Linked DNA regions of Callithrix jacchus. The protein of the gene in region 3 interacts with the protein of the main gene of each other region in a pairwise test. Links are inferred from orthologs where the notes say so. Each region holds a gene or a part of one and is shown on either strand. Other genes may lie near its edges.

Region 1 (2,778 bases), on a different chromosome or scaffold from region 3:
GCATGCGCGCAGCATGCCCCCCATAACCCCCAGTATCCGGTCAGTGCGGCCAGGGGCGGGGCGGCCCGGGGGCTTCATACTGAACCCCTACCCTGCTCCAAGTTTCAGGGTCGAGGGGCACGGAAGCTGGGGGGGCTTTGAGGCCTGCGCGCGTCCGGGGAGTTGCTGCTGCGGAATCCACCCCCTGCCCGGCTCCGCCCCCACTCCCACCCCAGCCAAACTTCGCAAAGGGGGTAGGGTTGTTCTTTTCTCTACAACCATAGTTGCACAACAACAACAAAACCCTCTTAATCCTAATTCCAACATCGAAGTGCGACCCAGGGCTTCACAGTGTTGCTACAGAACCCGCTGGTGCATCCCGTTTCCACAGGTCCTCAGGAGGCTGGGGGGACTGGGAGGGCAAGCAGGATCGCCTCAGTACCCCTCCCCCTTTCCAGCAGGTCCCGCTCCCCACCCCACCCCACCCCACCCAGTCCCTGGAAAATAACGGGTGTGGCATAAAGAGTTGCATATTTTACTTTATTTTTATTAAATTAAAAGCTACAGTCTGGCAGCGATTCCAGAACAGGGTAAGGAGGTTCCTCATAGGGGTCAGAGAAGAGCGGAGAAAGACAGACTAACAGAGACTGAGACACAGGCGAGAAAGGACAAGGTTGAGGGAGAACTGGCTCCATGGAGGGTGGCGGGGAGCTCACATCAGCCCAATTCCTCCTTCCCTGCACCCCAAGTTCAGCAGTGGAGCAATAAGTGGGGGTGATGGGAGATCAACAGACCCTCCCTTCCCCACCCTAGGTCCTTTCACAGCTTGGTCATGGAGCACAGCACATACCAGAAAAAGCCAAGGGCAATGGAGGGGCAGGGAAACTGGGTGTATATGTACACAGGGAGCAGGGAACAGGGCCTTGGAGGTCGGCCTCTGCCAGAAGGGAGTGGCTCACACTGCACTGAAACACTTGGCCAGTGGAGGACTGGGGGGAAGGGATTGCCCCCCTCCCTCTCTGAACTCCCTTCCCAATTAGACAGGTCCCCTACAGGTGTGGTGTGGGGGCAGGGGGCAGAGAGTAGAACAGAGGCTTCTGCTGGGTCCTAGTAGAGGTGGACAGCAGGGGCCTAGGCAAAGGGGATGTCCTTCAGTCATCTGTGATACCCTTGGCTCTCAGCTCCTCTTGCACCCGGGTCAGGTAGGTGGGGTCCGGGTACCCAAACCTGGGAGCAAAGAGAAATGAGGGTGAGGGTTGTCAGCTGTTTGAACTTGCTATTATCCCCATGCTTACCCTCATTCTAGGTGGCTCAAAACACCTCCCCACCTCCCCTAAGGGGTACACCTCCAAACCCAAGATAACTTAGCCCAATTCTGCTTATTTTTGTAGGTTAAGCTGGGCACATCAGGGCCAGGTTGAATGAAGGAGAAACTGAGATGGCTGAACAGTTTGGAAGTGGTCCTCTCCAGTTAGGAGGATCCCAGAGCAAGGGGGTTGGTGGTTCCCTCAGTGGAAACTGAGCAAAGGGGAGGAGCCAAGGGAAAGGTAGTGAAGAGGGGTCGCACAGCTGGGGTCCCCCTGTGCAGCTGGTCTTGTGGTGGATGTCGTTCCAGGTGATGACATTCGGTCTCCCTGTGGTCATGGATGTGCCGATAGTGAAGGTGAGACGCTGGTCAAACGCCTTGCGGAACAGGGTCAGCACCTTGTTGCCCTCAGGGCAGTCCGGGAGGTAGGCCACCCGTGTGGTGCCAGGATACCGAACTCCTGGGTTTGGGTGTTCAGCCTGGGAGGAAGGTGAAGCAGAGTGGGCAGTGAGCAGCCAGCCATCCCAAGACCCAGATGTCAATGGAGGCGGCCAGCCTCTGTCTTAGCACCCCCAGCTAATGCGAACAGGGCAGTAACAGGCTGACAGCTTTCCAAAGGAGAGATTATAGGGCCTGGGCAGTCAGAGCCTGTTTCAGAGCATAATCTTTATGTGTTAAGAGGTTTTTTTCTGCTGTCTCAATCCCTCAGCAACAATCCATTCAGCAACAAATGGATTCTCAGAAGTGATGGAAGGTGGCTGGTCCCTGCACTCCAGACAACTCAGCAGAAATATGAAGACAGAATAATCTATCTTTTAGCCTTCCCTTCACCTGAAAATACTCCTAATATTTCTGCCACTGTCTAACCTGTTCCATCTTCCATTACTCTTCTGTGCAGCTTCTTTTTTTTTTTGAGATGGAGTTTTATTCTTGTTACCCAGGCTGGAGTGCAATGGCACAATCTCGGCTCATGGCAACTTCTGCCTCCTGGGTTCAGGCAATTCTCCTGCCTCAGTCTCCTGAGTAGTTGGGATTACAGGCATGCACCACCATGCCCAGCTAATTTTTTGTGTTTTTAGTAGAGACGGGGTTTCACCATGTTGACCAGGATGGTCTCTATCTCTTGACCTGTGATCCACCTGCCTTGGCCTCCCAAAGTGCTGGGATTACAGGCGTGAGCCACCGCGCCCGGACTCTGTGCAGCTTCTTTACCCCTCTGCACCCAGAATTCCACATTACTCTTTGTCCAGCAGGAAGACACCTATAGGCCCTTGACCACTCCTGTTTTAACCTTCCACTGGCATCAAGGTTTTGCTCTCATACATCTGACACAGAGAGATGCTCCTGGCTCTGTTGGGTTGTCAGATCCCTTCCTATTGTGCCTGCCTGCCCCTAAGCCACCACCTCCACAGAATTTACGTCTGCCAAATGTCACCATAGTATTTATGTTCACCAAGGAAATAATATGTAATTTCTTTCTCTCATATCTGATG
Region 2 (3,500 bases), on a different chromosome or scaffold from region 3:
TCAAGAGCTTCCTACTCTAAAATTGGCCAGCCACGCACTGCAGATAATGGTTGCTAGTTAATTGCTGTCTTAAAGCCAAAGACAGGTCAAAATATTGTGAATGCCTCTAGAAGGTCTCATGTCATTTTGAAAATTCATCCATACATTTTAGCAAGGGGAAAACAGCTACCATGTAGCACGTTATACCCCATAATAGAACTTTCAAGCAACAGAGGAGTGCCTCCAAGAGAAGCTAAAGGTAATGAATGCCCTGCTCTTCTCCATTTCCAAAGTCCAGAAGAGCCAAGGAACAGTCTTGTCATGTAGTGGCTCATTAGTGGCACCGGCCCACCCATAATGCTAACTCCACCTGCAAAAATCTTAGACCTACGGTGACTGTGCTTCTAAACAGGCCACAATGTTTGTTGCATTCTGGAGAGGTGGCTCTGGAAAACAAAGCTCTCCTTGTTTTCAGGCCAGTGCTCTCAAGCGTTCTTCCAGCTACCCAGCCCTACTGATGCCAAAGAACTCTTGATCTCGTTAACTGTTCACTGAGTTCCTCAAGAGATTTATTATATTAGTATAAATGAGTAAGGCCTCTCCTTCTTCCACTATTGAACTGGGAATGAGTATGATTAACTTACAGAAACAAAAACTGATGAACTAACGGTGATCTTAAACAGTGCTACAGAGGAGGATTCCCCTCTCTAAAGAGCCTGCTCTCCCCCACGCTGTACTCACCAAAAACATCAAGTGCCCCTGAAATCCATGAGTTTAGTCAGCCAAACAGTCAACCTGCAACAGTGATCTGGGTGTGCAGCTTTTCAGCTGGTTCACTGCCCAGCAGAGCCTTTTCTCCTGTGTATTTTGAGCAGCCTGCTAAGATGTATATTTTAAAAGCCATCCTCCAAAAAGACAATTGCATTTTCTTTTCCTCACATGGCTTGTTATCTTGCATTTGTGTCTTCCTTCCCACCCCAATGTTCATGATTGACGAATTCCCAATAGCACAAAATTGGCTAGGCTTAACACACCATCATCCATAAACATGGAACCTCAAGGAAAGCGTCTACATTTGCAGACTCCTCAAGCAAAAATCATGACCACTGCCACACACAGAAAAACAAGGGTACACCATAAAATTGGTCAGAGAAGAGGTGGCCCGAAGGCTGATCCCAGAGTTTACTGTTTGAAAGAAGTTTAAATGAACTCAGTTTTGTCCTGGGAAGGGGCTTACAAAAGATGCAGCAGCCCGAGAGGAACTGTGTATTCTTCCTTTAGTCTGCCTATGACATGCCTAAATCTGTGCAGTCCTCAAAAGATGACCAACCATTCACAGAAGGAAGGGTCCTTAGGGTCTCTAGCCCCATCACTTCATGTGATAGAAAGGCAATGCCTTCTCACCCTTTTCCACTCTGCTGATCTCATTTAAGAGAACGGGAGTCCAGAAGAAGCAAATCACAGCTTTCCAGAGGGACAGGCATAAATTCCACTTTGCAAATGGAGAGCTTCCTGATGGCAGATGGGTGCACACGGAGGGAGCTGAAGCACCATTCAGAACAGTGTTTCCCACAGCAGTGCACTGTCGCAGAAGTGGCAACTGGTAAAGCAGAGGTTGGCCTTGCCCTGGCCTCAGGCTTAGTGATGTGCTACTGCAAACCTGCACAACAGGGAGTCCCTGCACTACCACTGGCTAGAGAGCTCTGGCTTTCTGACCATGGGACTGCAGCCCAAAGCATGGCAGGTGTCCAGCCAGCAAGCCAGAGAGATCAGCCCAAGGACCACTCAGAACCCTTTAGACGATTTTAGGCTGCTCCCCAAGTGATTCTTCCCAACCAACATAGGCCAAAAAACCATTGCTGGTTCCTGGAAACGACCAAAACTGTCGTCCAATTGAGTCAGCCAGGACAGCAGAGAAAGCTTTCATTATTAAGGGGACAGCGGTAGACTTGCAAGCTCATCTAAACAACTCCCTCAAAGCAGACTCCAAATATTTCACCTCACAAGAATGGGTGACTCTGGAAGGCTGGCATTTGCTGGTACGACTGAACAGACTGCAGGTGTGGAATCCAAATGTGTCTACAAATGTTCACTGATTGTCATTCTGTTCTCCCCACATTTTAGTTTTGCTCATTTTGTAGCCCACAGCCTGTCTCGTGGAATAAAACAAGCAAATGAAGAAGGCACACTGTGCACCCAGGGGACTCATCAGGCAGACTGCAGCGGTGCCCCAGAGCTACTCAGCTCAGCCTCAGTCACCTGCAATGAAAAACACCTCTTGCCATCAGAGTCAGCAATACATATGGGACTTAAAACCAAAACGAACTCATATTCTCTGCTTTGTAGGAAAGAATTCATATTTTCACAGGAAAAAAGGGGGGGCGTGTTTTTAATATCAAACTGTGGCCGTCAAAGTGTTCACTGACCTTTAATAACTGACCTTTTCATTTTGAGATATAGGGTTCAATAAGGGTAGTCCAGAAATCACTTCTATTTTACTCAAGGGCTGTGAGGCCTCTACCTCAGGAATCTCAGTTCTGGTGAAGCAGTGTTTTGGGAGGCATTGCGTGAAACACACCAGTTGAAGCAAAGTTCCCAAAGGCCAGGGGGGCCTATCACAGTCATCTTGTGCTACCAAAGCACTGAGCAGCCAAGCCCATAAGCAGAACAGGAGGGGAGAGACCCAACAAGCCAGCGTCCCTAGAGCTCTAGGCCATTACCCCCTGTACTGTGTTCTGAGATAAGGCTGCTCTCCCGCTGCTTCCCCAGGAAAACAGTGCCCTAGTGTGATCTCACAGCCTTCTAGGAATCAGCTGAGGACTTCCATTGAAAATAATGGAAATTCACATTGACGTACTTTCGATCCTTAAAAGGCAAGTCTCTCTTGATCCTTGAAGATATTCTCTCAAGCCAGGAAGACAGGTAAGGTGGGGAGGAGAGAAGGTTAAAAAGGAGGATGATCCATTTCATCGAGCCAAGAGGCTGGGCTAGTTGGAAAGTCGGGATAGCCTACACTGCTTCCTGTGGAGATGTCAGAGGTGGGTCCCCCAGCCATGGTTCTCAGCGTCTGGCTTACTCCCTGCCCTGCATGCGCAATGATGCCCAAATTACTGTCCACCGTGTAATCCAGCCCATTGAGCAAAGGAGCGTGGGATGGCAGGGACGATATGGAGGATGGAGACTGGGGGATTCCATAGGGGCTCCCATCCCTCAAGTCCTGATAGGATTGTCCTGTCCCGTCCATGGAGAAGCTCCCATTCATTAACTGTCCGCCTGTAACGTCCCCCACGTTGCCATAAATCCTATTGGTGTGGCCAAGTTCTGAGAGAATCTGATCCTCTGTGGACAAAAGAACGGAGATTTATTGTCAGCTACCAGGACTCCGATGGTCCCCTGCTCTTCACAACCTAGGAATACACGTGACCAGGAAGATACCCGAGGATGGCAGCAGCCTTGCAGCCAAGCACGGGTCAGACACACCGATATGGCAGCCTGACATCCAGAGGCCAACCCAGGTCAAG
Region 3 (3,060 bases):
CTGACCCGTGCATGTTTCAGCAGAGAATACAGTTGACCTTTGAACAATGTGGCTTGAACTGTGTGGGTCCACTTTCACATGGATGTTTTTCAACCAAACAAGGATTTTGTGCTTTTGTGAGATGCGAAACCCATGTACGTAGAAGGTTGATTGTAATATATGCAGGTTCTCCAGGGCTGACCTTGGGACTTGAGTATGGTATGGTGCAGATTTTGGCATATCTTGGAACCAATCTCCCTGTGTATACTGGGGGATGGTTGTATATTTAAATGTGTATGTAGAGTCAACAATTGGTGAATCCAGATGAGAATACAGTGTCCAAAATGTGTACTGTTTAAACAAAAATATAACTGAAATGTTTAAACTAAAAAGTGGGTAACTTTTTCCAGAAACTTGGAATTTCCAAATTGGCTGAAGCATTGAAATAGATGGTCCCTAATATACTAGGAGCCCTTCCTAGGTTCAAACACTCCCAAATCAAGATCCCAAGATCTTCTGACTGATTTCTCAAAGCTATTATTTATTCTGTACAAGCTTCCACTGTACATTAGACATTCTTCTACTCTTGCTTACACAGTAAACAAGTGTACACTTGCCCTTGGGCTCAGGTTCACAGGTCTTCCCTGTAGAAGGTTGTCAGGCCAGTAAAACTTAGGTTATCTTTCTCTGATGCCTCCTCCTGGAAGCCTGGAACGTGCCAGGCTCTGCGGGGCACAAGCTGGGCCCAGCTGTGTGGGTGTGCACAGGTACACAGTGCTTCAGTCCTTGGCGCTGAACAGCTTTACTCTCTAGGACAGCACAGAGTTTTGTCCAACTATGTAGGGCAAAATTGAGCCCACGGGAAGGAACCATACCACTGAGGCAAGATGTCCCCAAATACCCAGGCTCCAGCTCCCACTGCAGGGCTGAAGACCAATGCCAAGAGGAGCTGATGGGCAGCCTGGGCATCCCTGAGAAACTCGGTCCAAAGGGGCTATGTCTAGGAGGCTCTGAGAAGGGGGTGGGGCAGGAAGGCCAGGGGAAAGGGATATTAAGAGAATAAATAAAAGGAGAGAGAAGCTCTAGGGATGGGGGGCTTGTGCTATCCTTCAAACAGCTGGGGAGCAGACCAGGGGCGGGTTAGAGGACGTGATGCACTGTGGGAAGGGATCTCCTTCTACCTGCTTTCCTCTTCGAGTCAGTGCAATGCACAGCCAGCCGGGGCTAAGGGCAGGACCCCTCTCCCGGCGGGTTTGAACACAGCACTGGGGAAAAGGGAAGAGGCTGAGGGATATTTCAGGGAGGGGCAGTTACCCCCTGGTCCCCAAATGCTATAAGGCACAATTCTTGGAGGCAACTACATTCCATTCAAAACATTAAAAAAAAAACAAAAACAAAAACCAAAACAAACCCCCCCAACCCCCAAAACAGAAACTTGTTTTAGATCCCAGGTCTACTGTGGTTGTGCTTGGGGCCTGGCCAACGCCCGCTTAGCACCATGGGGGCTAGATTAAAAAAGTAGGACTTGGAGAGAGAGAGAGGAAAAAAAAAAAAAAAAAAAGACGAGTGCAATGTCCCCCAGCTGTGAAGAGGCCTGAAGGAGAGCATTCCAGTCTCAACACTTTAGTTACGGAAATAAAAAAAAGTTGGGCTTTTTAAAAACCAAAACCAGCGTTTTCCAAAAATGTCCCTTCGTCTGTCCCCCGGAGTTAGCAGCGTGAAGAGGGCTCTTGGCTCAAGGGTGTTTTTCGGCTCTGGACGGGCAAGCGGTGCGGGTGGAAATGGGCGCCGGCTCCTCCGCGGCGCGGGCGTCCAGGCGGCGATGCTCCCATCGGGCTCCAGAGGGCGCTGTCCCCCGGGAGGCGCGGGCGCTGCGGCGGGCAGCGGGGCAGCGAGGGTCTTCTCCCCACAGACGCGGTTGTTTCTGACACACAGGAAGACCACAGGCTTACAGATGCAAACGGAGACGCCGAGGGCACGGGGCGACGCTGACTCCACATCCAGGCGATCTTCCCTGCCGGGCCATGGCTCAGGAGCGCCCGGCTCCTTGCTCCAGACCCCGACCAGGCTGCATCCTCTCCGGCTCGGCAGCTTCAGGTTTGTTTTTCTCTTGTCAGGCTTGTGTTTTCTTTTTTGTTGTTGTTGTTTTTGTCTTTTTACAAAACTCAGGGAGCGGGGCCACCACGGGGAAGGGAGAAGGGACGTGGCTCCTGGCGCTACATTCGGGAGGGAGGGCTGGCCAGTTCGTAGAAGAGCAGGTAGGCGTCGCTGGTGCGCACCTGGCTGGAGGACATGGGAGTGACGCTGCGGAGAGAATGAGGAGTCAGCCCGGAGAGGGGGCAGGACCCGGAGACCCCGCGCTGGCCTCTTCAGCCGTGCCCCCGAAGCCGGCCTTGCTTTCAGGGAGCCTCCCCACGGGCAGCGGCTTCGTGGCCCTGAACTTCCCCGTCCATTCTGGTGGAAGCCGTGCGGGGGAGGGGGGGGTCGGGTGGCTACAGTCAGGGGCCCGGCCCAGCCCTGGCTCTCACCTGGAGTCGTTGAAAGTGTGCCACTCGCCTGTCCCTGGACTGCGACAGTAGGCTGTATAGTGGCCGCCCATGGTGGTTCCAGAGTGATTGGACACAGCGTACAGGTTGTAAACAGCATGGTCTGAGAAAGAGGCAGCCGTCAAGCCCCTGAGGCCCCCTGCCCCCACCCCCTCCCTCTAGCCTCTCCCGCGTGGTCTGGCAGCAGCTCGCTGGCGCTCCCCTCCTTCTGGCCTGCACACCTGCGTCTTCATTCTGCCTTGCCTACTCAGAGCTACTCACTGGTGTTTTCTGAGGCAAATTCTCTTAAGTCCAGGTCTCTAAGGGGGAAGTTCACGAATGTTGTGAGCTTGCTGGTGCGGATCCTGGATTCTGAGAACCGCTTCAAATCTGGCATTGGCTTGAGTCAAGGAGAGTCAAACCAACGCAGAAGAGCAGACAGCAAAAGGAAAGCCTACACGGTCCATTTCCTATGGCTCTGTTCCCCTCACCTATTGGCCCCTTGACATCAGTCACCCTTGAAAGTCATGTCCCAGCCCCGATGGATCTTAAGGAT
Region 4 (4,144 bases), on a different chromosome or scaffold from region 3:
ATGTTTGGAGTGACAGTGCTGTTGATGATTGCCTGGGGTTGGGGGACAAAGTTCAAGGTTGATGGGACGGATAGTACGAGACATGAAACCCCCAGGTATCACCTTGTATTAGCCTCTGGAAAGTCTTTACTCTGAGCCATTTCAGGGGACAGACTAGGGCCCCGGAAGGCTCAGAGTTTCCCATCCCTTGGGCACACAGCAAGCCAGCCACCAGACCCACGCGTGTCACCAGGACCCCTGGTGCCTCTGCCCCACCTAGACCCCACCCGGACCTTGGCGCCCCCAATGCTGATGATGCGGTAGACATTTCGGGTGGCATCGTAGAAATAGGAGACCGTGAGTGCATGCTTGCCCGCCGGGATCCAGTTTCGCTTGGTGGCCGGGTCAATTTGGAACACGTGCGCCCGTGTACTGAAGATTGGCTGCTCCCTGTGTGGGGAGAGGGTGATCAGTAGGGGCCGGACATGCCCCCTTAGAAAGCTCAGGTCCAGGCTGGGGAGGTGGGAGCTCACCTGGCTGTGGACATTGGTCAGGCGGGGCTGGGCAGGCTCTAGGGGGCAGCCAGAGAGGTGGCAGGAGCCGCTGGTTTGGCCCCTAGGGAGAGAGGAGGGACTATGAGTGTCCCTCAGGCCAGGTTGAGGGAAGCCAAGCAGGTTCCAGCTCAGGACCCATTATCACAGAACTTTCCATCAAAAAGGCAAGAGAGGCCCAAAGCACTGGGTGTGCTTTGGGAGGCTGAGTCAGGAGGATCATTTGAGCCCAGGAGTTCGAGACCAGCCTGAGCATCATGGTGAGACCCCACCCCTACCCAAAATTTAAACAATTAGCCAGGTGTGGTGGCATGTGCCTGTGGTCCCAGCTACTGGGGAGGCTGAGGTGGGAGGATCGCTTGAGCCCAGGAGGTCAAGGCCGCAGTGCAGTGAGCCATGATAGCACCACTGCACTCCAGCCTGGGCAAGAGAGCAAGACCCTGTCTCCACAAAACAAAGAAATGATAGAAAGAAATGAAAAGGCCAGATTATCATTATAGATCACTCAGAGCAAGTGGACCCCATCTTTCTTTGTCTGGGGGAAGCCCTCACCACACCCTGTACAGGAGATGGCCCTCTGAGAGGAGCCAGGTGGCTGCTGTTGACATTCAGATGTAAATCTCTCATCGTCCTAGTTACGGCACCCCCCACCTCGCCCCGTGAAGCCCCCTCCATCCTGGGCTGAGCTGTGAAGGCCACATATCTGCTGAGTTCTTTCCATTCACCCATGACCGGCCAGAGAGAGGTTCTCCATCAAAAATGGGGCATTGAGAGGTGTGTAGTACTGGGAGACCAGTTCCCCACTGCGCCCTGCAGAGGGACCCCCCCAGCTCCCACCCTAGGCTAGAGGCACACCTGGCAGCCCAGACTCCAAATCCCCAGGCAGCCCCCAGCCAAGTTAAAAAGACAAGATGTAGCCAAACAGCCAATCCCAGTGCCCATCACAGGGAGCAGAGCAGAATGCCAATCCCAATGCCACCACTGGGAGAACAGGGCTCCCCAACCTCCCCATTGGTCCATCCAGCCACCCGGATGTGCAGGGGACCAAGGAAGGATTTGGGGGAGGGGGAAGATAGGCGGGGAGGCCCCAGCCCAGCAGCCTCTATGGTCAAAGGGGGTATGCCCCCCCATCCTGTCCTGGGCAGCTGCTGCGCCGGTCACAGGGTCTGAAACTGGAGCCCCTGAGTGGGGGTGGGGCGGGAGCTCTGGCCTGGACCGGAGGTAGGTCCTGCGCCAGGTGGGAGTTGGGGGACGCAGGGGTCCCCGGAACCCAGGCCCTTCCGGTCCGGCCGCTCCTGCTGCGACTTGCAGCGTTTGGGGAAAGTTACTCACCAACTAGTCATGCGCTCGGATGCCGCCGGCCACGGGGCTCCCGAAGGGGGGTCCGACACCGCCCGGTGCCCGGGATCCCCAATCTGGCCGGTGGGTGAGGCCCCGTCCCATGCACCCCACTCCGGAGGCGGGGAGGGGGCCAATATTCATTCAGGATCCAGTCCCCACCCGAGGCGGGAGGACACCCAGTGCGCGACCCAACTCCGGGACGCGCGCCCTGACCCTGGAACTTCCGAGATTCCCGCGACAGCCCCGTCGCTGGGTACAGAACTTCGGGGATACCTCTTCTGCCTCCTCCAACCCCAGGTCCGGAACTCCGGGGACTGCCCTCCGTGCCGCCCCCTCTAACCCGGTCCGGAACTTTGGGGACCCCCTCGTTGTCCCAGACTCCTAAACTTCGAGGTGGACCCCCTGCCACCCTTCCAGTCCCTGGTCCCGGACGTCGGGGCCCCTCCCGCGCCTGGCTCCCACCCCAGGTCCGAAACTTTGGGGACTCCTTCGCAGCCTCCTCCAACGCCGGGTCCAGAACTTTGGGAACCTCCCGCGCGGTCCCCTCACCGACCCCGACTCCAGAACTTCGGGACCCCTGCGCTCCCTCCGGCCCTGGAACTTGGGGGCCCCTCGCGCCGCTCCCAGTCCCCAGGTCCGGAACTTCTGGGGACCCCCCGCGCCCTTCCCTTGGCCCCGCGACTTCGAGGCCCCCGCGCTCGCGGCGCAGTCTCGGCCGGCCGGGCTCACCCTGCCGGGTCGGCGCCCAGCGAGTGTTCGGTCGCAAGTCGGGTGCGGCCCCCGCGGCGCTGACTCCGCGCAGCCGGGCGCCCCGCTCGCTCCCTGGCTCCCGGGCCCGCGCCCTCCGCGCCGCCCTCCGCGCCGCCCGCGTCTTTGTCTGCGCCGCCGCCGCCGCCCGCGCCGCCTCCGGTCCCATCGCGGCGGGTCCCGACGCGGCCGCCGCCCGCCCCGCCTCCCGGGGCCGCCGAGGCCGCCCCGCTGCGCCCCCTGCCGGCTTTTTGCACCGGGCCAGGTGGGGGGAGGGGCGGGGGATTGGGGGAGGGGGCTAAGGGCGGTGGAGGGGGACTGGGGCGTTGCGGGGGTTCGGGACTGGGAACAGAGGGTGGGGACAGAGAGACAGAGGAGAGGGACATCTGGGATGAGAAAGAGACCCAGAAAGAGACACGGCGGAGACAGGCAAAGAGACAGGAAGCAGATGTAGAGATACAGTTGCAGGGACGGCGATGTGACCTCACCCTCCTGTCACGTCTCAGGGGACAGCTGCCTCTGTCCCCACTACCTGAGGTCATGACTTTGGGCCCATGAGGAAGGTCAGGTCCCTCCCGGGCTGACGTGGGTGGTTCAGTGAGGTTGCAGAGGGGGCGGTGGGTCCCTTCTGGCCACGGGGCTCTCGTTTCCTGGCAACACCCATTGAGCACCTACTGTATGCACTGTATGTACTGTTTGCATACAGTAGGTGCTCAATGGGTGTTGCCAGGAAACGGAAGAGATCGGCTTCGGGAGGGAACAGGAAGCAAGACAAAGAGAGAGAAGCCTTCCTGTCTGTTCTGCCAGCTCCATCCCTGGGCAGGGACATCTGTCCACCTCTGTCCTTCCCAAGACAATGGTAAAATGCCCATGATGGTTGGATTAAGGTTATCATTGCTAGTTTGTGGGTCCCAAGATCCAAAGGCTTAGGGAATGTCTCCAACGCATGGGTGTGTCCCCTTTGTCACCTCTGGTCACAAGGAGCATCCCCTTCCCACACTTGCCAGGAAAGCATCCTTCCAGAGCTGAGGTGGGATCCATCTCCCCAGCCCCAAGCCCATGGGTGGAACTTGTCAATCCTGGTGCTGCCCTATCTCTGGCACCTTCTCCAAAACCGCACATTACCGTCGGTTTGTGGGCAAAGTCCCTGCAGCTCCCTGGAACCAAGGGCTGTGGCGCCCTACAGCTCTGAGCCTTGCATTTGAGTCTCTTTCTTTCTTTCTCTTTCTTCCTTCATTCCTTCCTTTCTCTCTCTCTCTTTTTTCCTTTCTTTCCCTCCCTCCCTCCCTCTCTCTCTTTTTCTTTTCTTTCTTTTTTAATTAATTATTTATTTATTTTTAAAGACGGGGTTTCACCATGTTGGTCAGGCTGGTCTTGAACTCCTGACTTCAGGTGATCCGCCCACCTCGGCCTCCCAAAGCAATGGGATTACAGGTGTGAGCCACCGTGCCCGGCTCTGTCTCTCTCTATCTCTCTCTCTCTCTCTCTCTCTCTCTCTCTCTCCCTCCCTCCCTCCTCACTTTTTT
Region 5 (4,154 bases), on a different chromosome or scaffold from region 3:
GTCTCCTCGCCTTCCAAGAGTTTCCTGGGGATGCAGATGGAAGGTGAGGTTAAAAGAAACCTGTGTTTCACAACTTGCTCTGAGCACCCTAAAGGCTAAGGGAAGCAGGAGCAGGGCTGGGATTTATCAAAACTTAATGCCTGGGGATTTTGTGATGGAGACCAGAAACCAACAACAGGAACACATGAAATCGTCCTGTCAGATTTAAAAGGTAATGGGAAGCTAAAAACAAGACTCCTAATTACAGGGTTAAATTCTTATATATCTAAATACCTTCTTGGAAGAAGCAAAAAACTAACATTTCATTATTTCAAAGGACTATTCTTGAAGGTTTCTGATCCAACATAACTTTAATTGGGATCTGATTTTCTTCCTAAGGTTTAATGGCTGCTGTCTCTGCCCCTCTATTTTCACCTGTAAGCTGCAATCTCAATATCCAAAGCCATCTTCACATTGAGGAGGTCTTGGTATTCTTTTAGGTATCGTGCCATTTCACTCTTTGTGGTCCTCAATTCATTTTCTAATTTGTTGATCGTGTCCTGTTTGAAGACAAAAAAAAAAAAATATATCCAAGCATAAATATCTTCTATTACTTTACTGTAGTGTAGTTGTAAAGGCCTAGTTTCAATTAAAATCGAGGTGCACACCTTTGATAAAATCTCCCCTAGAATAATTTCCTGTATTTTTTTAAAAACCTTCTTGCCTAAAATAGCCAAGTTCATGAAGCCTGAGATGACAAACAAAATGGAAGAAAATTCTTTTCTTCTATTTCTTTACTTAATACAGCTTAATGATCATCAGAAAATGCCTGCAAGGAAACTAAGATGATAGAAAAACTGTTTCTCACCCACTGATTAAATCTTCTTTAGCTGGGTTACATGCCAAGAAACTAATGCCTTTCTGTACAGAAGAAAATAGCCAGACGAGAAAAAAATTATTCTCTCTAAAATATTTCCTATGTATCTAAATCATTTTTCTATTCCCCAGAAGAAAAAAAAAATTCTACTCCCCAGAAGATGGGGATCTTTTAAAATAGAGATCTTTTTAAAATTTTACTTTTTCTACTTCCCAGAAGATGGAGATGTTTTAAATAGAAATGTTGCACAAAGAAAAAGAAAAGAGTAAAAAGAAATGAACATCCTAGTTAACTGCCTAAAACAACGTTAACTATTTTCCTGTCTACCTACTAAATAAAGGAAGGGAGTGGTTGGTATAACTAGTCATAAAGCATGCTTGTCACCGTAACCTTTCAGAATTAATTGGGAGTTATTCACTCTACTATTTATTAACCAGATGATCTGATATTTGCTGCGAAGTAACTGGTGGTTAATACAGGTCAGTAGAGAGGAAATTTCACCGCAGGCCCCAGGCAACGCCCAGTTCCCACATCTTCCCCTCCCCCACCCAACACGGGCTGGGCAGCTTTAATGCGGAACTCGGGTGCAGCTGCACGGAGCACATTCCCAGACTACAGTGGCGCCCTTGCTCACGCCCTCCAAGTGCCCCACCCCGCCCACACAGGCGCCCAAGAGCCAAGCCTTATCCCCAAGAGCTGCCAGCAGCCGCACCACCCCTGGTCCCCACTTTCTGGGCGCACCAACTCTCCCCCGTGCTCTAGTCCTCCGCCCCCCTGTGTTTCGGGCGGTGCCGCACCTGCATAGCGCTGATGTCTGCGTTTTGCTTGTCCTCCAGCTCCTGCAGCTGCTTCTCCAGCGCTTCGTTCATGCCCCGGCATGCTTCGATCTCCAGGGTCTTGGCCTTGAGCAGGCGGCGGCTCTCGGACACCTCGTCCTTGGCGGCGCGCACGGCGTCGGTGTTCTTGGCGGCGCTCTCGGTCAGGACGGTGAAGCGGCTCTTGAACCACTCCTCGGCGTTCTGCATGTTCTTGGCTGCCAGCTTCTCGTACTGAGCGCGGATGTCCTTGAGCGCGGCGGAGAGGTCGGGCTTGGTGGACACGTCCATCTCCACGGAGATCTGCGCGTACTGGATCTGCGCTTGCAGCTCGGCGATCTCCTCTTCGTGCACTTTCTTCAGAAAAGCGATTTCGTCCATCAGGCTGTCGATGCGCTTTTCGAGCTCCGCGCGGGCAAGCGCCGCCTCGTCAGCGCCTTTGCGCGCTTCCATCAGCCTGCCCTCGGCGTCCTCGCGGCTCAGCACCTCCTCTTCATAGCGCGCCTGCAGGTTGCGTAGGGTCTCCTCGAGTCCTTCGCGCTCTCCCTGGAGCGCCTGCTTCTCGTTGGTGGCGTCTTCCGCCGCCAGGCGCAGGTCGCGGATCTCCTGCTCGTACAGCGCCCGGAAGCGGGACGGCTCCGAGTGCTTCTGGCGCAGCACCAGCAGCTCCGCTTCCAGGACCTTGTTCTGCTGCTCCAGCTCATGCACGCGCTCGATGAAGCTGGCGAAGCGGTCGTTGAGGTCCTGGAGCTGCGCCTTCTCCTGCGTGCGGATCGACTTGAGGTCGTTGCTGATGGCGGCTACCTGGCTCAGATCGAGGTTCTCCAGGCTGTGCATCAACGAGCCGGAGCTGGACGAGTAGCTGCGGCGCACGGACAGCGAGGAAGAAACCGGCGCCGAGTAGCTGGAGTAAGCGGAGCGCGCGGTGCTGTAGCCGCTGCGCACGCTGGAGATGTGCACCCGGGGCGTCTCCACGTAGCGCCGCTTGTAGGAGGTCGAGTAGTACGGCTCGAAGCTGAAGGAACTCATGGTGGCGGCCGGTGGCTCCCCAGCCCGCGGCGGCGGCGGGAGCCTGGAGAGAGAGAAGGACAGGGGAGTGAGGGAAGGGGAAGGATGGATGGCTGTGTGCGGCTCGGCGCCGTCCTGCCACCCCTATTTATACGCCGGGAGGATCCTGACGCAGCCTGCGATCGATCGCGGCGCGCCGGCCGGTGGGGGCAGCGCGCTGCTGCAGCCAAGGCGAGGATTCTGCGCAAAAGGGAAGGCGGGGGCGAGCGGCGGGCAGGGGAGCTGCGGCGCTCGTCCTTTACACTCTGCTCAGAGGCCCTTGATTTTCTCTGAGATTCCATGCACCCTCACTCATTTCCCTTCTGTATCCACCCACGCACCCCCCACCATCCTGCACCGCCCAGACCCCTTATCACTTGGATCCTTAAGTGTCCCCAAAACAGGTTATTGCTCTCTTTTGACACCCTAGTTTTCCGTATCCCGGCACCTCGTGGACACCCTGCCGCCCCCGCCCCCAACTCGCCCTTTTCCCACCAGGGACCTCTTTAACGATCCCCCTTGGTGTTTATGGTGACGGTGCCGCTAGGGGATTTTAGGTACAAATAAATAGGTTAGGTTGTGTGTCTGCGGTATGTATGGAGAAGAGTTTTAATTTCTTTATAGCTATTTCTGGCACTTTCTGCAATTCATCTTCCTTTTTCCTCGTTATTTTTCTTTTTCTTTAATGTGCTGCTTCTCAACACACAGGGAATGTGCGGACGCGCGCGCGCGCACACACACACACACACACACACACACGTGAAACTGCGGCACTACTGCAGGTGTTGGTTTAGCATTTCCAAACCTTTAAAGCAGTTGATCCGACTGTTAGTGTTTCTAGATTTTCACATTTCTTTACTGGGAATGAAGAAGCCGCGGATGCTTTTAACGTGTTGCAGTGTGTGGGTGGCGAAGAGCAGAGAATGAGTTGGAAACTAACACGGAGACTGACTTGCTGAGGCCGCTGCGCGCTAGGCAGCGGGGAGCTAGCTTCAAGCTGCCTGGATCCTCACCAAACTAAATTCCTGCTTGATACCACCAATCGCAGCACATTTACCGCCCGCTTCCCTCTTTTTACACATGTGTAGCACACAACCTGATGATTTCAACAAGCCTTGCAAGTGGTTGATTTTCAGGGAAGCCGTTGAGGACAGCCGGGAGCGCTGGGCGTGGTCTCCGGGGAGGAGAACTCGGCACCCAGACTTCTTTAGGAACGGATAGAAAATAGCCGCGTGATTCTTCCCACGATACACTGTAATTACCCGAAAGCAGATGCAGTCAGGAATCCATGGGTTTCCTTCAGGAAGCACCCAGATACCTGAAACTGGCGCACGCCGTAGCGCACGTGGACACAGCCCCTGCGGTTTGCAGGGTATTTTCACACGCGCGATGTTAGGAGTCCCCACGGTTTCATGGAGGGATTGCAGAGATTTACG
Region 6 (2,244 bases), on a different chromosome or scaffold from region 3:
TAAAGGGGTCATCGTGTCTCTCCAGTCTAGAGCCTAAGTTCAAATGAGGCGTAAGACGAGGGCAGCAGGAAGGCTCCAAGTCAAACAGAAATGTATGAGATGGATAAATTTCGCCTGGTCTATCCCTGCTCCAACGGTGTGGGTGTGGGTTGGGTGGTGCAGCCCTTGAGCAAGGGGCTGTGACAGTCACAATCAGAGGAGCTGCGGGAGCTGCTACGGAGAAAGCGGAGGCAATTCCAGAGTCAGCTTGGGATTGTCCCAGGGGAGTCCTCAGGACAGTGTCTGGGGCTGTAGCCTGGTTCTCAGCCCTTGCAGCATCTGCCATTTTAACCAGGGGTCACCTACTTCCTCTGGCCTGGAAGTAGCTAGAAGTTAAAGGTTACACTCACCAGAAGGGGGTAAGCCCAGGAAGTAGTCAGAAAAGAAAGGTGGCTCTAGAGAAGAGATGGGGCCACCTGAAGGCCTTCAGGAGGACAGAGAAAATAAATGGGAGAAGAGTGTTATGTCATATTAAATATTTATTTTCTGCAGACTGTCTTGGGAGTAATTCTTGAGCCAGGAGGGGAGGGGTTAGTGTTCAAATTGCTGAGACCTTAGGTCAAAAAGCTACAGAAATCACTTTGAATAAAACAATGACTTAGAGGCAGTCACCCCTTGCCAGTAATTCCAAGAGTTGAGGCTTCATGCCTCAGAACACAGTGACAAGAGTTGAGTGAACCAGAGATTGAGGCAGTGGTTTTCACAGGGGAAGAAAGAGCTTGGGTGTATGCGAGCAGGAGGGTGACAGACTGGGGAAATGGTAAAGGCCATTTTGGAAGCCCACAGGGAAGTGGTCTTGGGAAATATGAAGACACTGGGAGATTCAGAAGGCCAAGGGGATCCAGCTTATCCTGTTGAGCAAGGTGCTGGGAGGGAAGGCAGGTAAGCCATGTAAAAGGCCTGGGAGGCAAGGGGAAAACTGGAAGGGGGACCCCAAGTGAAGAAGGATATGGAATGGGGGTGCAGAAGTCCATGGAGATGACTGGCAGATCTCAGGGCGGTTTCAGCACATCAGAAGTTGGGTTTATGTTTCTTGAGCTCCACCATAAGGTGGTGAATGTTGATGAGCTCTGCCCGGGCAGGAAGGGCTCGGAGTTGCGGCTGGGACAGCACCCGGTGGAAGCGATGATAAAGCTGGATCAGCTGGGTCAGTGCTCCCTGGTCAAAGAAAGTCATTGAGGGACCAGATTGTAAAGTGGTGGTGACAGTGATTATTAAGAATCAGTTTAGGCGGCTGGGCACGGTGGCTCACATTTGCAATCTCAGCACTTTGGGGCCGAGGTGGGCAGATCACGAGGTCAGGAGTTTGAGACCAGCCTGGCCAACACAGTGACACCCTGTCTCTACTAAAAATACAAAAATTAGCTGGGCGTGGTGGCAGGTGCCTGTAATCCCAGCTATTCAGGAGGCTGAGGCAGGACAATGGCTTGAACCCAGGAGGTGGAGGCTGCAGTGAGCTGAGACTGTGCCACTGCACACACACAAAAAATCAGGTTAGGGCTCAACCAGAACTTTGGGCACAGCTAGTAGCTGATGGGTCACTTAGATGATGCTAAGCCCAGCAAAAAGATGTAAGAAAACAATAAATAATGGGGGATGTGAGTGGGGGCTGGGACTTGTAGGTCACCTGAATGATACTGGTTCCATTTCTGAAGTTGGTGAAACTCCGCATTACATCCTGACTCAGAGATTCCACCGATGATTTCCAGGAACTACCAAAGCCACGGATCAGCTGAGTTACCCGGGCTGATAGCAGGAGGAAAGGGAATGTCAGAGAGGGATCTGGCTGGCTGATCTTCAACTGCACTACGTTCTCCCCAAGGTACAGCCATCCTTACCATCAAACCCCTCTTTTCTGGATTCTCTCGATCCAGTCTTTCATACTCTGCACCGCCCCCCCCAAGTAATCTGTATCCTTTCCTTTTTCTTTTCCATTTCCCTTATCACTGATCCCACCATTACCACATTTTCCTCATACCTTCTTCCCCTCGAAGTCGCTCAGCCTGTCCACGCTCAATCAAAGCCTCAGCCTCCTTCACAAATGCTACCAGACCCCCAAAAGGGGGAGACAGCAACTCTTCAATGAATTCCTGGAAAGACACAAATACATATACACAGGTGTCCTGGTATCAGCAGCTTTGCTCAATTCGGGCATCAGACTAATGCAGATCCGTGTCAATGGCATCTTTCAGCTGCTGTAAATCC
Region 7 (3,500 bases), on a different chromosome or scaffold from region 3:
GAATCTCGAACCCAGGAGGTGGAGGTTGCAGTGAGCGGAGATCTCGCCACTGCACTCCAGCCTGGGCGACAGAGCAATACTCCATCTCAAACAAAAAGAAGAAAGAAAACTTCCCCTCCTCTGAACATTGTTGTGTCTAATCCTAGAGATCAGTGGGAACCCAAGATGCCAGGAGGGACCTAAAGCCTACATGGCTAGGAATGCCAGCCTTCCCCAAAGGCTCATGCCTGGCCAGTGCTGAACCCCTGCTCTGACCTATTAGATTCAGTTCTAGACATTTTCAGGGCAACACCAGATTCCATGGTCACAGTAAACTTGCAAAGATGCAAAGACAACTTGGCTCATCTTCAATTCTGCCAGCCTCTGCAGCACTTGCTCTAAGGAAGGAAGCAGATTCGGGTTTTCAGAGATCAGGGCTGAAGGGTCCAGTGAGCAGGCAGTCCTTTCCCTAGAGAGAGGTATAGCCACTTCCCCCAGACCCAGCTTCCCTGGCCAGGCCTTGGCTCCCTGTTGTTTCTCTCTTGTCAAGCTTTGCTGGTCAGCAGCTTTTTCCATTGTCTGCCCATCTGGCCTGTCGGATATTAGATCTCTAGAGCCAGAGGCTTGGGCCAGGAGTAAAGCCAGAGCCTGGAGAGAGGCTAGGTGGGTCTTGGTCAAGCAGGTAGGTCCAGTTGGGGTGAAAGAAGAGGCTCCACATGACTCCAAGTCCTGAATCCTATAATTGTCCCCAGGTGCTATTCCCAGGAAAGAGGCCCCACAACTTCCAAGTTGCCAAGAGCCATAGGGCAGATGTCTTACCTCTGTTTTCTTGGGTGGTTTCTTGGTTGGGTAGATGCTTTTGGAGGTAAGAGGTCAGGGTGGGGGTGGTGGCCATGGTTTATTCTCTTTTTACCTCCAGAGAGTGGGGAGAGGCTTGTATTCTAATTGGGACACTTTTTTTTTCCTGAAAAGCCTGAATTAGAAACACAGCCAATAGGCCAGGTGCAGTGGCTCACACTTGTAATCCCAACACTTTGGGATAGCAAGGTGGGAGGATCACTTGAGTCCAGGACTTTGAGACCAGCCTGGGCAAGATGGTGAGACTGTGTCTGTAAAAATTAGCTGAGCATGGTGGTGTGTGCCTCTAATCTCAGCTACTAGGGAGGCTGAGGTGGGAGGATTGCTTGAGCACAGGAGGTGGAAGCTGCAGTGAGCTATGATTGTGCCACCACCGGGGAGAAGGGAAGGGAGGCAAGGAGGAGAGAGGCAGATAGCTACATTGGGCATTGCCCAGACAACTACTTCCTCATCACCATCCTCTGCCCAGCAGGGTCCCAGTTAGTGTCACTCTGCAGCACAGACTGGCCTTCTGGTAGAACACTGCCTTTCTTCTCCCTGACTTTGGCACACCTTCCTCCCACCTGCTGTGGCTTTCACAGGTCAGAGCCTGCTGCTGTCTTTTGCTGAGCTCCAGGGAGAGTGAGGTCCTTGTGTTTGTGAAGGGGGCCGTGCAGCCCCTGCTTTGAGCTTTGACCATTTGAAGTGCTGTCTAGCAGCCCAAGGCCTGGGCAACCATATACACACCCCTGAGTGGCTCCTAGCATGCGTGACTGTCACTCTAACTGCAGCAACACCCATCCTACCTGTTCCATACCCTGTGTTCATGGCACTGAGGCACCTTCTCTCCCACATGGTCCCCTAACCCCCTGCTCTGTTCTATGACAGACACCCAAGGACAATGCTGCTTCTCTACAACCATCTGATGACACCGTGTTACCTGGCGGTGTCCCTTCCCCTGGTGCCAGTCTCACTAGCATGGTGGCACCTCAGGTTCGTGCCTCCTCCCCCTCTGCCCCCTGCCCTCCTGTACCTAGTATGGATCTCTTCTCTTACAGGTAGCTTGTTCCCTAGGGCCAACAGCTCTTCCTAGGGACCGGGCTGGGGGAAGGCTCAGACTAGGCTTTTCTTTGAGGTCTGGGGAGATGGAAGATTATTGGAATGAGTTTGGGAGCTTGTCTCACCCCATCCTGGGTGATTCTTACCAGAAATTGAATGACCATCTCATATGTTTCTTCCCACACAGAATCATGATGCTGACAACGTCCCTAATCTTATGGATGAAACCAAGTGAGTGTCTCCTATTGGGGCAGCAGTCTCTAGGTGGAGAGAGTCAGGGAGGCCACTGCCCATGACCTTCTTTCCCATTGAACCACCTGTACCCCTGACCCCTGTGTCTCCATTCCTAGGACTTTCTCATCAACTGAGAGCCTGCGACAACTCTCCCAACAGCTCAACGGTCTTGTTTGTGAGGTACCTCAGAAGTTGAGGCCCAGAGTGGGGTGTAGGGGGGAGGAAAGTATGACAGAAAAAAACCGAAGCAGGGATTCATGAGAGAGGGAAGATCCTGGGACCAGCTGATTTTCTGGGCAATGTTGAGGGAGTCACCTCTTCCCTGAGCTTTCTCCCTTGAAGCTGTACACATGAAGGGGTTGGAGCCTGTGACTGGTTGCATCATTTTATCCTGCTGCAGCACTGGATGAGAGGTGCTCGGGAGGGAAGGTTGGTGGGGAAATAAGAACCATGAGAGAAGTTGGCACAAAAGGGTTTACAGGACAAAGGGTCCAAGTTAGGCAGAAAAGAGAATGTTGCCAGATGAGGGGGAAGAAAGGAAGTCAGAGGGCTTAGACACTGGGAGGGCAGAACATCTCCATGTGCATTCCCGTCTCTTATAGTCTACAACATGTGTCAATGGGGAGGGCCTGGCATCATCTGCTAACCTGAAAGACCTGGAGGTAAGAGGCCCTGGGCCGTGGCTCAGTGACCCTGCAGGCCAGCCCTCCAACCTCCTCCCACAGCGAGGGCTGGGTGCCCCTCTGCCAGCTGAGACAGCCCACACACCCCCCAACCCTAATGATTGCTCTCTCTACCTCTCCCCCCAATCCTCCTCCAACTCCTCCTCTCTGCATGCGCCTCAGAGCCGGTACCAACAGCTAGCGGTAGCCCTGGACTCCAGCTATGTAACAAACAAACAACTCAATGTCACGATAGAGAAATTGGTAAGAGTCCAGTGGGGTCCCCTGATTCCACGCTGCCAATCCTGGGCTCCAGTTTCCCATTGGGGCCCTGAAGAAAGGGGCAGGGGGCCCCTGGTGCCAAGGGCGAATGGGGAGCTGGGGGGCCCAGGCCTCAGCTGGAGGGACCCCAGAGCACGGAGCATGCAGCATGGCTCTTCTGTTGCTGCCCTTTTTGCCTACTCTCTCTTCTCTAGACACCCCTGCTCGAGTCCTTGCCACACACGCCCTGGGGTTGTTGCCTCTCAAGCAGGTGCTAGCCCCATATTTCCATTTTGACTCAGTCCTTAATTTGTTCTTTGATTCTGGACAAGCCACTTCTCCTCCTTGGGCTTGCATTTCCTGAGGAGGTAGAGTTAGAGAGTATCAAAAGTCTCTTAGCTCTGAGAGTCCAAGATTTAAAGTCCCACTAGAATGTAAACCTCAGGGCCAAGGGCTCCTATCTGTCTT

Evidence for each region.
Region 1: the proteins of USP2 (region 3) and DTX3 interact in binary tests that used the Homo sapiens proteins (3 or more experiments, as listed by UniProt). The link is inferred for Callithrix jacchus from reciprocal best matches to the Homo sapiens genes USP2 and DTX3.
Region 2: the proteins of USP2 (region 3) and LHX4 interact in binary tests that used the Homo sapiens proteins (3 or more experiments, as listed by UniProt). The two-hybrid records come from large-scale screens. The link is inferred for Callithrix jacchus from reciprocal best matches to the Homo sapiens genes USP2 and LHX4.
Region 4: the proteins of USP2 (region 3) and HOMER3 interact in binary tests that used the Homo sapiens proteins (3 or more experiments, as listed by UniProt). The two-hybrid records come from large-scale screens. The link is inferred for Callithrix jacchus from reciprocal best matches to the Homo sapiens genes USP2 and HOMER3.
Region 5: the proteins of USP2 (region 3) and NEFL interact in binary tests that used the Homo sapiens proteins (3 or more experiments, as listed by UniProt). The two-hybrid records come from large-scale screens. The link is inferred for Callithrix jacchus from reciprocal best matches to the Homo sapiens genes USP2 and NEFL.
Region 6: the proteins of USP2 (region 3) and VPS52 interact in binary tests that used the Homo sapiens proteins (3 or more experiments, as listed by UniProt). The two-hybrid records come from large-scale screens. The link is inferred for Callithrix jacchus from reciprocal best matches to the Homo sapiens genes USP2 and VPS52.
Region 7: the proteins of USP2 (region 3) and GOLGA2 interact in binary tests that used the Homo sapiens proteins (3 or more experiments, as listed by UniProt). The two-hybrid records come from large-scale screens. The link is inferred for Callithrix jacchus from reciprocal best matches to the Homo sapiens genes USP2 and GOLGA2.

What each region holds. Positions count from the first base shown.
Region 1 is NC_133510.1:62,088,591-62,091,368, forward strand, and holds the end of DTX3 (putative E3 ubiquitin-protein ligase DTX3), read right to left. Parts: intron 1,765-2,778; coding exon 1,547-1,764; intron 1,207-1,546; coding exon 1,131-1,206; 3' UTR 501-1,130; downstream 1-500. Other genes in the region: ARHGEF25 (rho guanine nucleotide exchange factor 25), read right to left, coding at 1-78. UniProt on the Homo sapiens protein: Regulator of Notch signaling, a signaling pathway involved in cell-cell communications that regulates a broad spectrum of cell-fate determinations.
Region 2 is NC_133519.1:23,121,052-23,124,551, forward strand, and holds part of LHX4 (LIM/homeobox protein Lhx4), read right to left. Parts: intron 3,319-3,500; coding exon 2,924-3,318; 3' UTR 1-2,923. UniProt on the Homo sapiens protein: May play a critical role in the development of respiratory control mechanisms and in the normal growth and maturation of the lung. Binds preferentially to methylated DNA.
Region 3 is NC_133511.1:19,006,506-19,009,565, forward strand, and holds the end of USP2 (ubiquitin carboxyl-terminal hydrolase 2), read right to left. Parts: intron 2,895-3,060; coding exon 2,787-2,894; intron 2,629-2,786; coding exon 2,508-2,628; intron 2,284-2,507; coding exon 2,196-2,283; 3' UTR 501-2,195; downstream 1-500. UniProt on the Homo sapiens protein: Hydrolase that deubiquitinates polyubiquitinated target proteins such as MDM2, MDM4 and CCND1. Isoform 1 and isoform 4 possess both ubiquitin-specific peptidase and isopeptidase activities.
Region 4 is NC_133523.1:17,630,848-17,634,991, forward strand, and holds the start of HOMER3 (homer protein homolog 3), read right to left. Parts: upstream 2,801-4,144; 5' UTR 1,863-2,800; intron 595-1,862; 5' UTR 527-594; coding exon 513-526; intron 430-512; coding exon 273-429; intron 33-272; coding exon 1-32. UniProt on the Homo sapiens protein: Postsynaptic density scaffolding protein. Binds and cross-links cytoplasmic regions of GRM1, GRM5, ITPR1, DNM3, RYR1, RYR2, SHANK1 and SHANK3.
Region 5 is NC_133514.1:16,529,667-16,533,820, reverse strand, and holds the start of NEFL (neurofilament light polypeptide), read right to left. Parts: upstream 2,801-4,154; 5' UTR 2,701-2,800; coding exon 1,654-2,700; intron 540-1,653; coding exon 415-539; intron 25-414; coding exon 1-24. UniProt on the Homo sapiens protein: Neurofilaments usually contain three intermediate filament proteins: NEFL, NEFM, and NEFH which are involved in the maintenance of neuronal caliber.
Region 6 is NC_133505.1:41,493,327-41,495,570, forward strand, and holds the end of VPS52 (vacuolar protein sorting-associated protein 52 homolog), read right to left. Parts: intron 2,130-2,244; coding exon 2,018-2,129; intron 1,786-2,017; coding exon 1,667-1,785; intron 1,198-1,666; coding exon 1,051-1,197; 3' UTR 501-1,050; downstream 1-500. UniProt on the Homo sapiens protein: Acts as a component of the GARP complex that is involved in retrograde transport from early and late endosomes to the trans-Golgi network (TGN).
Region 7 is NC_133502.1:176,875,508-176,879,007, reverse strand, and holds part of GOLGA2 (golgin subfamily A member 2), read left to right. Parts: intron 1-1,704; coding exon 1,705-1,809; intron 1,810-2,062; coding exon 2,063-2,106; intron 2,107-2,225; coding exon 2,226-2,289; intron 2,290-2,711; coding exon 2,712-2,771; intron 2,772-2,954; coding exon 2,955-3,035; intron 3,036-3,500. UniProt on the Homo sapiens protein: Peripheral membrane component of the cis-Golgi stack that acts as a membrane skeleton that maintains the structure of the Golgi apparatus, and as a vesicle thether that facilitates vesicle fusion to the Golgi membrane.